Linked DNA regions of Schizosaccharomyces pombe. The gene in region 1 interacts genetically with each later gene. Each region holds a gene or a part of one and is shown in the gene's direction. Other genes may lie near its edges.

Region 1 (4,666 bases):
TTTATGAGTATCTCGTGAAATCAGCAATTCCGGTTGGTATTAATGTTATATAAGCTTAAACAATAATTTTTCAAGAAAGGAATACTGTTTGGCTGCATAATTGGTCTTTATCCTCGTATATTACCGCTTTTGTCATTTTTCTATATTCGGGTTGTTATCACTGTCTGAACCCTACTAAAGTTTTTCATTCATACATTTAAATTACAATGAAAGTTATTTGTGGATCAGTGTTTCTGTTTTCACTTTTCTTTCAAGTAGTTTTAGGAGATTGTATGTTCTAATGAGTTTTTTGCTTTGTTTGCTAACCAGATTTTCTTTTTTTTTTTCATTCACTAAGCATAACACTAACCTATAGATTTTTCCTCGTCTTCCGGTAATCCTAACTTGAGGACTACGAAAGTGTATACTGTAGTCAGTGGAACTCACCTGGCTACGGCTGAAAGCACTGTTAGTAAAACAATCACCACGACAAAAGGTTTACCGACTAATGCTTATTACAACTGTGTTCCTTCTAAATATATCCAGTCGGATATACCCATGTGTGCACCTAACCAAGGGGATCGTTGGGTAAAAGGTCGCAAGTATAAAGTGTCATGGGATCCTCTGTACTTTGGAGTTGATAATCTTCTTATGGTAGTTTCCTATTTAAACGATAGCGGGTTGATTGCCGCTACCAAGAAGGTTCAAAATTCAAAAGGTTCGTTTGTAGAGGAGCGGGAATTCAGCATTACTTCTTGCGGATAGATTTTCTGCTTCTAAAAGCGTTCACTTAATTGTTGCTAACTATTTTTCAGGAGAAATAATGTTAAAGGCTAACAAAGGTTGGCTTCATGATGATAGTTTCCAGAATGTCACCATCGATTTGGTTACTATTAGTGAAAACAATATGACGCTGCTTACCGGACCAAGAATCTTACTTGCCAAGGATTTAGATAGTGCCACCGCTGCCGCTGAGAATGCAGCTTTCTATGGTCCAAGGAGAAATATCAAGGCAGCCATCGCCGTCCCGTCTGTAATTTTGGGGCTTATTCTCGTTGCTCTCGTATACTACGCTTATAGGAAGGACACTTGGAAAATTTATATGGCAAAGATCAGAATCCGTAGATCCGCTCCTGGATATGGTGTGCGACGCAGCAGGCGCCAACGTATGCAAAGCCGTCCTGTTGCCTATACTAGTCTTCCAGCCGATGCACACTTTGAGGACTCGGATGATGAGGATTATTACCAATCACAAGTAAAAAAATTCCATTAAATCTGTGCATAGAGAAGTTCTTCATTGTTAGTAGCAAGAAGTTTTTGTTTTTCGTGAAGAAAGCTAGATTAATCGTCATTTAATTTCACTCTGTTTTTAATCATCAACCTTTTCATCATTTCGTTTATGGAAAAATCACATGTTTGTTTCATCTTATAGGGTTTCCACCTTGTTAAAATTGAACAAGCAATTAAAATACAAGTTTATAGTTGTACTAAAAAGGAAACTGTTGTAGAATATCTGTAAACAAGTTTCAAGAAATTGAACGGTGTTTCGCCCTTGTAGAAAATAAACCAGCATCATTTAAGATTCGCATAACTCAAATGACTTTTAAGTCATATTAATTGACGTTTTCTTAATATTTCTTTGCGAAATTTGAAATCAAGTATTCTGTCTGATGCACCTACAACGAGCCAATTGCTTACATATGGCCAAATATCTTATTCCCAAATAATATACCTATATTTACAAAAAGAAAAAACCATATATTTTATAGTAAATGGTATGATTGAAAGATAATCGAAAATGTCTACTCTTGAGCCCGAAAAGCGTAGACAACATGAAGATAAATCGAATGAAATAATTGACTCTCCTATTTTCTTAAATAAAATTTCTGCATTACCGGAAAGCGAAAACGTTCATTGTCTTCTTTTAAAACAGCTCATTGGAAGCCCTCAATTAAAGCAGACTTGGCAATTTAATTTCTGTGTCGACCTTAATTTTTTGTTGGAAAACATGCATGCTAGTGTCTTCCCTACTGTCGATGTCCGTATTACTCATGGATATGACTCCAAGTCTGATAGTTTAGCAAGACTAACTGCCCAGATGAACCATTGCCCTGTTAATGTCAAACTGTACAGTGTTTACGTTCCAATGTGGGGCACGCACCATTCTAAGATTATGGTGAATTTTTTCAAAGATGATTCATGCCAAATTGTAATACACACAGCCAATTTAGTTGAACCAGATTGGATTGGCATGTCTCAAGCCATCTTCAAAACCCCTCTACTATATCCTAAAGCGAACGATTCCCTTTCAACTTCTAGTGTTCCTGAATACGGTAATCCATCCAAGATAAGGAAGCATGAGGGAAGCCTTGACATCAAAGATGATCGAAACTGTGATATTATTGATGTAGATTCCGCTTTTGAGAATTTTAAACATAAGTCCGATACAAGGAGTAGCGATGATTTGGGTGTAATCGGTCGACAATTTCAACAAGATTTCTTGGCCTATTTGAAGAATTATAGGCACACATATGAGCTTATTGAGAAACTGAAAATGTATGACTTTTCAGCAATCAGAGCAATATTTATTGGATCAGTACCTGGAAAATTCGAAGGCGAGGAAGAAAGCTCTTGGGGATTAGGAAAGTTAAAAAAGATTCTAAAGATGTTGGAAAAAGATTCAAAGAAGGACGAGAAAACTAAATTCGAAGAGTCTGACATTTGTATTTCTCAGTGTAGTTCCATGGGTTCATTTGGACCCAAACAGGAGTACATTGCCGAATTAACGGATGGTTTTGGTTGCCAACGAGGGAATTGGAAATTTTTATTTCCAACAGTGAAAGAAGTTCAGCAATCTATGTTAGGTTGGCAATCTGGTTCCTCTATTCATTTCAACATCTTGGGGAAAACAGCTGCAAGCCAAGTGGAAACTTTAAAAAAAGGTAAGAATTTATGCAAATGGGTGGCCATGAAAGCTGGTAGACAAAGAGTTGCACCACATATTAAAACGTACATGCGATTTTCGAATGATGGAGAACTACTACGTTGGGTGCTTGTTACTAGTGCTAATTTGAGTAAACCCGCTTGGGGAACTTTAGAAGGTCACAAGGCAAAATCAAGATCAACAAGAGGACTCAGGATTCGGTCCTATGAAGCCGGTGTATTGTTATATCCCAAATTATTTGAAGAAAGTCAACGCGCTCCTTGCATTATGACTCCTACTTATAAGACGAATACTCCCAATCTGGATGAGAAAAGGAGAGAGTTTTATGGAAAAAGAGTAATTGGTGTACGAATGTGTTGGGATTTCCCACCTGTTGAGTATGAAGACAAGGATGAGATATGGTCGCCTGTGATAAATAGAACGGATAAGGACTGGTTGGGTTATGTTTGGCCTCCCAATTGGTAAATCATAAGGACGTTTATGATAAAAATACTTCATAGGCTTTACAAAACATGGACAATTCGATTAAATTGAAGTATCTATACATTGAAGTTGACATCACAGACTAGACAGCAGAGCTTTCAACAGAAAATGTTGAGCCTTTTTTTTTACAATACTCTAATTGTTTAAGGGTAATTTACTTCTTTATTTTGGATAGGTTTTTATGTCACTGAAAATGTTTGATAGCCCCAAGTCTTTGGAAACAGTCAGTAGGATGTTCAAGAAAACGGAGGTTCCGACTTTACAGATTTTAATACGTGAAATTAATTTTTTTTGTTTAATTTCTCTTTTCTCTGGCAAAATTGTAAGCACAAGATAAGGGACTATTCAGTTGGACTCTCAGCTCATTTGTTTACATTCAGAAGATATATAACGCATCAGTGTCGCTGTTTTATGTCTCGCAAATATCAAGTTAAGATAGCACGTCCAACCACGCTACATATTAAACGATGTATTGCAAATGCATTATACTGAAAGAAATAATAGGAAACGAAAACAGTAGTCCGATCATCCATTGATTATGAAAAAACAGCTTATTTAAAATGCATTGTACTTTATTAGTTAAAGACTAAGGAACATGAATTTTTGGCAGTTTAATAACTAGTAGTATATCCATCATATCGATTACGCGGTAGCTAATGAAATTTTTTTTAGATTCTTTAATTATAGGAAAATATAACAGGTACATTTTTTCCTATCCTATTACGAGCATAGAACAAAAGAAGAAGATAATGTTTTTAAACGTTTTATTTACATTTCTACAATTGAGTTTCGGTAGTTTTCAAGCATGTGCAAATAACGAGCTGCATAATTATGCTTTTGCAAGGTACGATACAATATACCTGAAAGTTGTTTGTTTACATAGCAGTGTTTCCTTTTTACCTTTACTTTCCACCAAGACCTATGAATAGAAAATTGTTAAGTTTTGGTTCATATAGAAGATCCGTAAAATGTTTGAAATAATTTAATTATAAAATACTTTATTCTTGTGCTGAAAACATGAAGAAAGGAAGGCTAGTACGCGACTCAAGCCTGTTTTCTCATTGTTTTGTTATTGGAGGATTAATTTGTTTTCCTTAAGAAAAGTTGTTTATCAAATTTCTCTTTTCTTTAAAAGATTGACGAATTATTCCAATCAATTGTTTGTTAAGCGGGTTGCATATTCCTCAAGTTGCTAAAAGCTTTACGTCTTTGGAATGTTTGTTGTACAGTTTTCCTCTAAAGAAATGTCTTTTCCCGCTC
Region 2 (5,102 bases), on another chromosome or scaffold:
AGCCAAATTACCAAGGAAATTAGAGACATAAATTTTAATTGCATAGGCCCTTATTTAAGCAAAATTGCTCGAAAACTATCCAGCGATTTTGAAGGTCGACGTCAAGCCAAAACTGTAAATCAGATTAGAGACTTCGTTTCCAAACTGGGTTCCTTACAATCGGAGCATACATCATTAAATATTCGTAAGTATTTTTTTCTTTTGATTTCCATAAAAAATTTTATTAATTAGATAGACACTGGTCTCGCTGAAACTTTGGTGCAACACACAAAAAATAATTACTTTCAAAAGCTACTACAACTTCAGCATTTGCTAGTTTCTCATGCCGATTCTTTTACTCAATTCAATTTATTAGATGAAATTATCTATGCCGAAGCACCTGTTGAAGAGGTTTTTCGAGTACTTTGCCTTGCAAGTATAACTACCAATGGTTTGAGAAGAAAAGATATAGATCATTACCGTAGGGAAATCACTCAAACATATGGTTATTATCACCTTTTAACATTCCAAGCCTTGATAGATGCAGGACTATTGCGCCTCCGGCAATCCACTAATATTTCACTTCAAAAATCATTGTCTTATTCTACATGGTTAAACACTTATCCTTTGGTTAAGGACGAAGTTGATGAGCAGAATCCTGAAGATATAGCCTATACGTACAGCGGGTACGGTCCTTTGTCAGTCCACATAGCATATGACATTTTAAAAGGCAGAGACAATGAAGAAAAAATTCTTAAGTTGCAAAATATGCCTGGAACTTACGTTGACAAGTGGACATTAGACCAGGAAAAGGTCATGCCTAAAAATTTGAAGACAAACGTACCAGGTAAACGTCGTGTTTTAGTTTTTTTCATCGGTGGTTGCACGTACACAGAGCTGGCTGCATTTCGTTTATTGCAAGAAAAAGAAGATTTATATGAATTCACATTTATGACTACGGGAATGGTAACTGGAAGCTCTCTAATAAGAGCTTTTATTCCAAATATTGAATCTTTGAATGAGTGATGATCACCCAGTTTCATTAATTTGTTCAACAGCTAAAGACGATATTTAATCTCATTTTTTTTCACTAAGAGAATCCCATAATTTTAATTATTGTTTTTTTTATTAACCCACTTTATTAAGTCCTTAGTAGTTTATGAATTTGAAGTGGCATTAAAGCTTTCCCTATATGCTGTTAAGCTATTTGCTATTTACTGCCAAAATATTAGCTTACATATTAAATAATAAACCTCCAATATTTGGCAGCTAATGGCTTATTGTATCAATCAAATCACCTTTTTTTTGTTTTGGATATTCAGTGGCTTTTGGTATTGTTTACAATAAATGTAAAGTTAAAGCTTTCAAAATTATTAGAGATTACTTTTCTCGTACTGTTAATGGGTTTATTTTGAAATATGCACATTTATAGCTTTTTGCTGCAAGCTTCGTAACATTAAATTTTATTTTATTTGAAAATTCCAGTTTCTCATTTAGCTACTAATTTTTACAAACATTAATTGTCAATATTTGGTTGTCATGACAACGAGTGTACGTACTCAATATTAATCCTTCTTTTACTGTATTATAGATGTATGCAAACAATTCACAATGTCTTCGTCTGGTAAGGTTTCACGTAATTTAACAACATTTGCAAAATTTTTAACAACTGAAAAGATTCAGATTCCGTGTCTTTATCCATTAGAAGGAGGCAAAGACGCGGTTCATCTAAACGGATTAGTATGAAGGAGTCGGACGAAGAGAGTGATAGTTCTGAAGTATGTTCACAACATAATAATTAAAGATTGTTGACTAATTGTTTAGAATCATCCTCTTAGTGAATCGTTGAATAAGAAATCCAAATCCGAGAGTGATGAGGATGATATACCGATTAGAAAGAGACGTGCTTCTTCAAAGAAAAATATGTCCAATTCAAGCTCTAAAAAAAGAGCTAAAGTAATGGGAAATGGTGGTTTAAAAAACGGAAAAAAAACGGCGGTTGTAAAAGAGGAAGAGGATTTCAATGAAATTGCAAAGCCCTCACCGAAGCATAAACGTGTTTCTAAAGCGAATGGAAGTAAAAATGGCGCGAAGTCAGCTGTTAAAAAAGAGGAAAGTGACACAGATGATTCAGTTCCATTGAGAGCTGTTTCGACTGTATCTTTAACTCCTTACAAATCAGAACTGCCTTCGGGAGCTTCGACCACGCAAAATCGCTCACCAAACGATGAGGAAGATGAAGATGAGGATTACAAGTGGTGGACTTCAGAAAATATCGATGATACTCAAAAATGGACTACATTGGAGCATAATGGTGTAATTTTTGCTCCACCCTATGAACCTTTACCAAAGAACGTCAAGCTAATTTACGATGGAAACCCCGTAAATCTTCCTCCCGAAGCAGAAGAAGTTGCTGGTTTTTATGCTGCAATGCTTGAAACCGATCATGCCAAAAATCCTGTATTCCAAGATAATTTTTTCCGTGACTTCTTAAAGGTCTGTGATGAATGTAACTTTAATCACAACATTAAAGAGTTTTCTAAATGTGATTTTACCCAAATGTTTCACCATTTTGAGCAAAAGAGGGAAGAGAAGAAGAGTATGCCGAAGGAACAGAAGAAGGCAATAAAGCAGAAAAAAGATGAGGAAGAGGAAAAATATAAATGGTGCATACTTGATGGGAGAAAGGAGAAGGTTGGTAACTTTCGTATTGAACCTCCAGGGTTATTTCGTGGTCGAGGTAGTCATCCTAAAACTGGTTCTTTAAAGCGTCGAGTATATCCTGAACAAATTACCATTAATATTGGTGAAGGTGTACCCGTTCCAGAACCACTCCCTGGGCATCAATGGGCGGAGGTAAAGCATGATAATACAGTGACCTGGTTGGCAACCTGGCATGAAAATATAAATAATAATGTCAAATATGTCTTTTTAGCTGCAGGAAGTTCTCTAAAAGGACAGAGTGACTTAAAAAAATACGAAAAGTCAAGAAAGCTTAAGGATTATATTGATGATATCCGTAAAGGCTACCGGAAAGATTTGAAAAGTGAGTTAACGGTTGAGCGTCAAAGAGGAACTGCCATGTATTTAATTGATGTTTTTGCTTTAAGAGCAGGAAATGAAAAGGGTGAAGACGAGGCGGATACTGTTGGTTGTTGTTCACTGCGATATGAACATGTTACACTGAAGCCACCACGAACAGTCGTTTTCGATTTTCTTGGTAAAGATTCTATTCGTTACTACAACGAGGTTGAAGTTGATCCCCAAGTTTTTAAAAATCTAAAGATCTTTAAACGTCCTCCCAAAAAAGAGGGTGATTTAATTTTCGACCGTCTCAGTACAAACAGTCTTAACAAATATCTGACTAGCCTTATGGATGGACTTTCAGCTAAAGTATTTCGTACCTACAATGCTTCATACACCATGGCCGAGGAACTTAAGAAAATGCCTAAGAACCTCACCCTTGCAGACAAAATACTATTTTATAATAGGGCAAATAGGACTGTTGCAATTTTATGTAATCATCAACGTTCCGTAACCAAAAATCACGATGTTCAAATGGAACGGTTTGCCGAAAGGATTAAGGCATTACAATACCAGCGGATGAGACTGCGAAAAATGATGCTGAATTTAGAGCCCAAGCTTGCTAAAAGCAAGCCCGAATTGCTGGCTAAAGAAGAAGGCATTACCGATTCATGGATCGTAAAACATCACGAGACACTTTACGAACTAGAAAAAGAGAAAATAAAAAAGAAATTCGATCGTGAGAACGAAAAATTAGCTGCTGAGGATCCCAAATCAGTGCTTCCGGAATCTGAATTGGAAGTTCGATTGAAAGCGGCTGATGAGTTGAAGAAAGCGCTGGACGCTGAACTTAAAAGCAAAAAAGTCGATCCAGGTCGTTCTTCGATGGAACAACTTGAGAAAAGATTAAACAAACTCAATGAACGAATTAATGTTATGCGTACTCAGATGATCGATAAAGACGAGAATAAAACTACTGCTTTGGGTACAAGTAAGATTAACTACATAGACCCGAGGCTTACTTATTCGTTCAGCAAGCGAGAAGACGTTCCTATTGAGAAGCTGTTTAGTAAGACGATTCGTGACAAGTTCAATTGGGCTGCTGATACACCTCCGGATTGGAAGTGGTAAGTCCTCTACGATTTAAGAAAAGTATCTTTCATTGAACTTTTTAAAAAAAAATTATTTATTATCATCCTACGGCAGACAAATTGTGAAAGTGCTTCGTAATTTCGTGACTTAATGATGTCTTGAAATGAATGCTAGCGTACAACAACTTAGTGTGCTGAAAGAAGGAATTAATTACTTCTAGTTTAGTGTTTAATAAAAATTCATACAAAAAATGCAAAGCTAAGGAAGTTTTTTCAGCAAAAATATAGACAGAATAAAATTTAGCACAAAACAAATTGAACGTGACATTTCATACTATCCCCATTGCATTTGGCTTTTTTTTTCATAATTACTGTTTACTCTTGAGGTCTTTTTCTTTAATATTGGTGAAATGCCTGTTACGATCATCAAATTCAATATACAAGCAAACTTACTCTTGTAAACAATTTTTTTTTTGTTTTTTTTTTTTTACAAATAGAAAAGGAAAGAAAAGCCAAGCTGCTGCTTTTTTAATCTTTATACCAATTACTCTTCTTTGGTTGTACTAAATAGTTTTTCAAGCACTTCTATACCATCCAAATTACTTTTTTCTCTAGCGTTTACATTTGACTGCCTTTTTCGCATCTTTAAACCCGGTTTCCACTTTTTCGTTCTCTTTGTCAGATTGGCACAAGTTCCGGTATAGCAGAAATATCAGTGGAAGAGATTTTGTCTCACTATTTGCTGGAGCAATCCAATGCAACCACGAGCGGATACAATCGGGTTGGTAAAGATTAAATTACGTAAAACAAAGTATGAACACACTAGCATTTGGATCCTACCTTCTACGAGTACCTACATTTACTCAACCGGATTCCTAAATATTCATTTTTAGCAGTTTCTCAATAGGAGATAGCCTTAGTTGGAGATTTCTTTTTCTTTTATTTTTTAGAACTGTTTATAACGCAAACTCGAAGGTTTGTTCTTTGAACTCACGATAAGTTTTTTTT

What was found. Genes that interact genetically often act in the same process or in processes that back each other up.
Region 2: of tdp1 (region 1) and top1, a mutation in one rescues a mutant of the other (synthetic rescue), as found in Schizosaccharomyces pombe (4 studies listed by BioGRID, with this or other methods).

Annotation. Positions count from the first base shown.
Region 1 is NC_003421.2:527,396-532,061, forward strand, and holds tdp1 (tyrosyl-DNA phosphodiesterase Tdp1), read left to right. Parts: upstream 1-1,667; 5' UTR 1,668-1,777; coding exon 1,778-3,388; 3' UTR 3,389-4,101; downstream 4,102-4,666. Other genes in the region: protein psg2, read left to right, coding at 207-270, 356-697, 795-1,252.
Region 2 is NC_003423.3:2,941,069-2,946,170, reverse strand, and holds top1 (DNA topoisomerase I), read left to right. Parts: upstream 1-1,574; 5' UTR 1,575-1,590; coding exon 1,591-1,603; exon of another isoform or gene 1,604-1,656; coding exon 1,657-1,757; exon of another isoform or gene 1,758-1,803; coding exon 1,804-4,134; 3' UTR 4,135-4,437; downstream 4,438-5,102. Other genes in the region: HOPS/CORVET complex subunit, vacuolar sorting protein Vps33, read left to right, coding at 1-184, 236-1,005. UniProt on the Schizosaccharomyces pombe protein: Releases the supercoiling and torsional tension of DNA introduced during the DNA replication and transcription by transiently cleaving and rejoining one strand of the DNA duplex.